Cricetulus griseus: one gene and its partner. The protein of the gene in region 1 purifies or fractionates together with the protein of each later gene. This does not show direct contact. Links are inferred from orthologs where the notes say so. Each region holds a gene or a part of one and is shown on either strand. Other genes may lie near its edges.

Region 1 (3,819 bases):
CCAACTCCTGAGTTGCCTTTCCTCCAGCACACTGTAATGTCCATTTTTAATAGTATGTATGGGGCTGGAAAGGTTAAGAGCAGTTAAGAGCGGTTAGTGCTTTTGTAAAAGCCCCAGGTTCCGTTCCCAGCACCCACGTGATGGCTCACACCTACTTGTAACTCCATTGCCAGGGTATCCGGTGCTCTCTTCTGGCCTCTTCAGGCTCCTGCATGCACAGGGCACACATAAACTCAGGCAGGACATATACATATATAAAAATAAATCTTTAAAACAGCCTTAGTAATTGTGAATAGTATAGCATAATAACATGTGTGGAGGCTGGAGAGATGGCTCAGTGGTTAAGATCACTGGCTGTTCTTCCAGAGGACCTGAGTTCAATTCCCAGCACCCACATGGCCGCTCACAACTGTCCATGACTCCAGTTCTGGGGGATCAGACAACCTCACCCAGACACACATGCAGGCAAAACACCATTTGCATCTAAAATTAAAAATAAATAATCTTAAAACAAAAATATGCGTGAAGCGTTCCTCACCACAAGTAAACCGTAACTCCTAGGAGATGAGCCTTCTGATCTATTTAACCTTGTGTATAAATTAGGGAGAGTTTCAATAAGTGTTTATTGACTGTCCTGGTATGGAATATCAGAGTGGCCTGAAGAAGGGGCAGTTCTGAAAGCCGAATCCAGTGTGAACTGTAAAGTTGGCCTGGATCTTTAGCAACTTCAGGTGTTGAGGGAGAAGTTTTAGCAAGAAGATGGAAGTAGAGACAAGCAGCAGGCACTGTGATGTGCACTGCCCAGGGAACTTAGCAGTCTCCAGCAGAAAGGAGTGTCGGTAGACGAGGCAGGTCCCCTAACATCCAGTGAGGGGCTCTGAGCACGAGAAAGGGAGCGTGCTATTAGAGCGGAAGCCAAACTGCACAAAACGATGGCTTATTAGTCCATGACTCCCCTGTAATCCACGGAAGGCAGGGCATGGTCGGTATGTTTCAGGATGTTTAGGTAGACTGCAGTGTGGACTTGTACCGATAAGCACCTCTGGAAGGGATCCAGAAGGTTCCAGATCAGAACAATGTTGAAAATTTGCAAAAGGGCACAAGCCATGGTTTCTGTCAGGACTAGCGGGCAGGAGTGGTGAGTTAACGGAAGTGAACAGTGGGAAAGTAAGTGTTTCGGTGGGGGTAATGGCAGATGGATCAAAGACTGCATCTCTGACCTGGTGGGATGATGAGAGGAAACGTGTTTGAAGGTTGTTCATAGGCTTGGGGCAGGGCATAGGAAGAGGGGAAAGTGTCGACTGCGGAGTCGTCGTCCGTCCCCCGCCATCCAGGAAAAGATGGGACATTTGCAACCAAGCTTCCTCCCTGCACTGTGCAAACAATAGTCAGAACATGACATTGGTGCTATTCCAAGTGACACACAGTGACTAAGAATGTGAGGCTTGCTGCACACTCCAGCTACAACAGAAGGGGGCGTGCTAAAGGGAAGTCCTTTCTGACAGTTCAGATAGATGGTGGACACAGATCCTTCTCGCTTTCCTGATTTTCAGAGACCTCCCTCCCTAAGCTGCCCGTTGGTAAAAAGTATCCAGTTAACATCTAATAGCATCCCTTGAGTTCAAGTCAAGTTTTGAATACTATTCCCTGAGTCCTCAGACTGGAGTGGGAGCAGATGTAGAACTCTGGTGGGTCTTTATAAAAGTCTAACTCAGGGATGAAGAGAAGGCTCCACCGGGCAAGCATAAGGACCTGAGTTCAAGTCCCCAGCACTCAGACAAAGCCAGATGAGACTGTGCACACACCTGTAACCCCAGCTCTGTGGAGAGCAGAGACAGGTGGGTCACCAGGCCTGGCTGGCCCCCAGTCGTCTCATAGGACTAAGGCAGAAAGTGACAGGGTGGCATACCTGATGTCCTGTTGGTCCTCTGCACAGTGGGGTTCATCCACACGTGTGTACATACACCACACACATAATCTTTAAAGCTAAGAAACAGACAATAAGTAGTACCCAGGTTCTGACCTACAATCCAGCAGTAAGGCACCAAACCAGCAATAACACACCCCTATCTCCAAAAGGAGCTGTCTTCTCATAGTCCCCTCAACTTGTCATGGTCATCTTGTCACCTTTCAGAAGGGTAAGAAAGGAACCTTTCCCTAATCTATGCCGAGGTAGCACCGGTGTGTAGGTTCAGTGGGTCCCCAGCTCCGTGTTATGTTGCTCTGGGGGTTGGAGTGGAGAGGGAGGGTATCTTTGGGAATAGACTCTTCTGACGCTTTCATTTCCTGCTCCAAAGGTTCATGAAAACCCCAGATGAAATCATGAGCGGCCGGACAGACCGTCTAGAGCACCTCGAGTCTCAGGAGCTAGATGAACAATCGTACCAAGAGGACGAATGCTAAGGGGACCCACCACGGCCTCACCGGCTGGCCAAAATGAACCCTGCGCACAGGGACCATTAGAGGTGTGATGGAGCTGGGTGTGGCTAAGAAGGAAGAGGCCCAGGAATGGCAGGAACACTTCTCTCGCAGACCGAGAGGGACCCAGAGCACCTTAGACAAACCACCCAGCAATGGCGGGGCTGGAATTCTGGCAGAGGGCACAAGCCTGAGACTCACATGTCACACTTGCTTCTCCTTTGGACCTCTTGTCTGTAACGCCTCACCCCACCCCGCACCTGCTGTTAGTCCCATGGTGTTTCTGGTTTTGTTTTTGGGGGTTTTGTTTTTTGTTTTTAAGAACATGCAGTTTGACTATTCATCGTTCATACAGGGGAAGACATCACATGTTGTTTTCCTATGGAAATATATCTATTATATATCTATTTTTTTTATTTTTATTTTTGCAAATCTCCCGAAGTACAGCCAGCTCAGCTGGTCAGGAAAGAGACTTGCAGAAGGGATCAGGCCCCTCTTTTTCCTGCCACACAGATCAGGTTTGTCCTGTTGCAGTCGGGTCTTGGATGAGAAGAAAAAAGAAAAGATACTTGCAAAACATGAAAGAGGTCTCCGTCTCCGTCTCCCTCTCGCCCCCCTTCTCTCACTCATTCTACCCCTCCTTCTGCCTCCTCTGCCTGCTGTTCAATGTCACATGCCTTTTAGCAGACCTGGCCTCACTAGCACCTAAAGTAAACATTGGCCCAGCTGTTCTGGGCCATCAGCACACAGCCAGTGGCCTTGGGCATCTGAGGGAGGCCAAACACCTCATAAATGCTGCTGTATTCCAGAAAGATCAGTGGGAGGTCTGGTCATAAGATAGGCCAGAGGCTGGACAAATGATGTGGAGGGCCCTGGCATTTTGGGATTATCCTGGAAATGCTGCAAAGTGGGAAAATACGAGAAGCTCACACAGGCCTAGTGCTCCAGGAACTAGGCAGAGCTTCTCTGCTGTGAGGAACAAGTTGTGAAGGCTGGTGAGAAAGCAGAGTGGTCAGTTTCATTGCCACCACCCCCACTCCAAGCCCCAGCCTTTTTTTGTTTTTCCTTGCTGGTCCTTACTGAACATAGACCACACATAAGGGAGGACTCTGGAGTGCAGACTTAGCACAGCCGGTCTTTGCTCAACCGGCACAAGACAGGAAATCCCTCAGATTCATTCATTTCTCCTCCTGTCATTGCTGTATTTCAAGAAGATGTATTTGTGGCTTTTTTTTTTCACCTTGGCATAAAGTCCGTAGTATCTTCCAAGATGAGGGTAATACTATGCCTTAGGACTTTTGATAGCAGAGATTTTTAGACAGCTGTTTTAGTGGGGGTTTGGGGTTTTGTTGTTTTGTTTTGTTGGTGTTTCAAGACATGGTTTCTCTGTAGCTACTGAAA
Region 2 (3,819 bases), about 200 kb from region 1:
CTTACCTTCATGAGTAACTATAGATTATTTAAAGGGTACATAAACAAGTATAAACATGTATTAAACTCTTACACTGTGTTAGAAAGTTCACTGGCCCTCTGGGCATTTTAACTGTACTTAGCACAGTATATCTGACCATGCAGAAATCAGAACTACTATCAGACAAATTATGAAATGACCAAAAAGTGTTGAGTGAGAGTAGACTGTGTGAAGACCTATTTCCACGCTATGAAGCTGCAGGAACTGCTGAGTTCTCTGAGAGTGAGGTGTATAACAGGTGGGCTGAGGCTGGAGGTGAGCAGTAGACCATTTGCTCTGTGAGGGCAAGGCCCTGGGTTCAGTCCCCAGCACCGGGGACACTAGAACAGTTTTCCAAAGTGCATCAGTAATAAAGATGCTGGGGTCAAACCCAGGGCTTATGTACACCACTTGCACTTAAATTCATCTCAAGGTAGCAGAGCACATTTGGGGCTCCATTGAGTTCCTCTCTGCCCTCCAACTCCATCCATTTTCACTTGCTTCTAGTTATATCTTACTTGCAAATAAGAAACTGCAAAGGTCTCCCTGTGACAATAAAAAGCACAGTGGGCTTAATTTGGGATAGTGATACTGGAGACCCATGGCCTCACTGCACATGCCAGGGAAGGGCTACCCATCCATACAGACTTGAGCTGCAACAGCTTTTAGCTTTCAGACTGAATTTATGTGTTTCTCTGATTTCTGATACAGAATATTCTTTCATAAAACTAACTATGCTTCTCTTTATTTCTTCCATGTACTAGCTACAGGCCTTACAGCTACCGGCACTTTGCCCCGCCCACGACACCCTGCAGCACTGACGTCTGTGACAGTGACTATGCTCCTAGCCGGAGAATGACCTCAGTGGCAACAGCCAAGGGCTACACCAGTGACTTGAACTATGACTCAGAGCCTGTGCCCCCTCCACCCACACCCCGAAGCCAGTACTTGTCAGCAGAGGAGAACTATGAAAGCTGCCCCCCTTCTCCATACACAGAGAGGAGTTACTCCCACCACCTCTATCCACCACCGCCCTCCCCCTGCACGGACTCCTCCTGAGGAGGGGCCCTCCTCCTCTGACTGCCTCCACCGGGAAATGTAAATACACATCTGGTTGAGATCTGGAGGGGGGGAGGGAGCTGTAAAGAAGAGTGAGGCAGACTGTACAGTTAACATTATAAAGGGGGTGGGGTACTGGAGATATTTGTACAGAAGAAAAGGATATTTATATATTTTCTTAAAAGAGCAGATTTGCTGCTTGTGCCATAAAAGTTTGTATAAAATATAAGTTTGTACTAAAGGTTTTATTTTTGCAAACTAAATACACAAAGCATGCCTTAAACCCAGTGAAGTGACTGAGCACAAAGGAAACAGGGACAACAGAGACATCGCTGCCCGGAAGTCTGGGTTTTAATGATACCAAAAACTAAAGAAAAAGAAGAAATTCCATCTCAAGAGTGGCAAACTTGGAAGTAGCCAAATCGCCTTCAAATTAACTAACATTTGAGGGCCAACGAGTTAAGAAACCATAAAAGAAAAAAAAAATTACAGTACTAACTTTGGACAAAGGGCTTTGTTTTCTCTAGGAATCCAACAGTTTTCTTAAGGAAAATAGATATTTGTACAATCCATTTTGAGTGTTGCTGTTGCAGGATGCTGTGCAGCTGGTGAGAGCCCACACCTCTGTCCCAGTTCTTGGTAACATTGGCTGCTTTCACCTTGCTGCCTCCCCAGCAACTTGTAGGACGTTCTGCCAAGAGCCATGATTTAGTCAAGAATTTTAATCTGAGGAATTGACTAAATGGAATTTACTCAACAAGGGATTGATGATTCGGTGTATCTACTATGCTTGTTCACCATTTGGCTGAGCTTTTAAGTTGTAGGCTGTTTTTGCATAATCAGAAGTTAGCCATATTATTGGTCTTCCATGATTGTTTTAATGCTCATTAAAGTGTCTTTTTACAACACATATAGACAATGCTTAAAAATCACAAATCTAGCTGTTATATTTTTGTTAATTAGTTTTGTATCCTTGCAACATACAATATTACAGTGTGAGATCATTTTATGTATGTTTTTTGACTAAACATTGAAATGTGCTCTGGTTAGAAACAGTCTATTTAAAAAGAAGGGTTTTTTTGTTATTAGGTTTCCCCTATATTAACTGTTTGTGACATTTTCACTTTCTGTGGACCAGCTTTTTTCAGAGTGACGTCTACAGGCATACCTCTGTTAGTGTGGTGTGAGGTACCTTCTTGTTATGTATGCACTGTGAATGTATTTGTTTTCACATAACCCGCAGTCTGTTCTTACAGTCGCCTGTGTTTCTATGTGTGTTCTCTGTTATCCCATTATGGATTAAGATAGTTTCACAAACGTAACAGTGGAGATTAAATGAGAAGACTCACTGAACTTCTCAGCTGCAGGAACTTGAGTGGTGGGGACTAAGGGAAGTCTCTTCTGTAACATGTCTGACCTGCCATCATGACAGCCTGAGCTGCTACCTCTGCCGCTGTCAGGGCTGACCTGTGGGATGACCTTAGTTCACCCTGCTCTGCCTCTGTGCCAGGGTTAGTCTCCTGCTTCTTCCATGTGTCTAGCTCTCCTCTGCTAAAGTTGAGCTGTTTTTAAGCTAGTGTGCTTTTACCTTAGCAGGTGTTAATTACTTATTGAATATATTTTAAATTATATATTGATGTGAGGCTTCTCCAGATTTTAGAGCTTAAGCAAAAACAATGGAGGAAATGATTCCAGAATTTTGGTGGAGTTTAAATAACTTTTAAAATACACATAAGTACATTTTAAAAGAGAAAAACAAACCTTTTAAGATAATGCTGTGTTGTTGGGTACAGCTTAATCAAAATCAGGGCCACTTATCTTGCATATAAGTAAATGGCAATCCATCCGTGTCTTGCTTTTCAGTCAGATAATCATTAACTCTTCCTGTTACTGAAACAAAGTGCTCAGAGTCTAAGACAGAATGGACATCGAACTTGCCTTCTGTGATGCACAGGGGCGCTTGATGCTTAAGTGAAGATGGAAAGGTTAGCAATAACTGGGTATCAGTTAGAATTTGAGAATTCTATATGTTTACATTTTTAATGTGCATCTTTATCTGGTGGGCTTCCCATGTAGAGACTTGCACTATAGTGAGCTAAGAAGGATGCTGCCTTGTTGCGTCTCAGTCCAAGTGCTTGTGCTGCGATGGCAATGGCCTCTTCTTGCAAAATACTGATTTGTGTGCCAATTTGTTGAAATGATTCGAAGGCAGTTCAGGTTAATCTCAGTATCCTCTTTCTGGGGCAGCTGAGTATTTCTGAGAGTACTTTTTAGTGAGATGGTTGTTAAACTTGGGAAAGATAATGATGCTCAAGTTGCATGGACAGTTAAGTTTAAGTAAACTGTGTCTTGGTTATTGAACATAAGAAAAACAAGGCGAAAAATAAATTTACGAGAACACAAATTGGGAAAGGGAGGAATTTTTAAATTAGGATGTGTCTAGGTTGATTATTTAAGAGGAAACTTGAATAAAATTTGATTAGGTTCCAGAGTTACATGGATATTTATTTTGAACTTGTATCTTAAAGTATGCCTATAGGAGAGTGTGTGAGGTAAGCTTTGGTGTAGCTTGCTTTTGTACGCTGCAGCAAACTTTTCTGTATTGAAGTCTTTTATAACTAGGACTCAAACTTGACTTAGAGTCCTAGTCTTCTAACCAAGGCCCGAAAGTTCTGTTTTGGGTCAGGTAAATGGCACAGTCACAGAAAAAGTTTAAAATAGAGTTGGTGGGTAGAATATTAC

Evidence for each region.
Region 2: the proteins of Etv6 (region 1) and Lrp6 purify together in Homo sapiens (affinity purification with mass spectrometry; 3 studies listed by BioGRID and IntAct, counting the BioPlex papers as one, with this or other methods). This does not show direct contact. The link is inferred for Cricetulus griseus from reciprocal best matches to the Homo sapiens genes ETV6 and LRP6.

The regions. Positions count from the first base shown.
Region 1 is NC_048601.1:14,704,208-14,708,026, reverse strand, and holds part of Etv6 (transcription factor ETV6), read left to right. Parts: intron 1-2,297; coding exon 2,298-2,403; 3' UTR 2,404-3,819. UniProt on the Homo sapiens protein: Transcriptional repressor; binds to the DNA sequence 5'-CCGGAAGT-3'. Plays a role in hematopoiesis and malignant transformation.
Region 2 is NC_048601.1:14,504,510-14,508,328, forward strand, and holds part of Lrp6 (low-density lipoprotein receptor-related protein 6), read left to right. Parts: intron 1-782; coding exon 783-1,077; 3' UTR 1,078-3,819. UniProt on the Homo sapiens protein: Component of the Wnt-Fzd-LRP5-LRP6 complex that triggers beta-catenin signaling through inducing aggregation of receptor-ligand complexes into ribosome-sized signalosomes.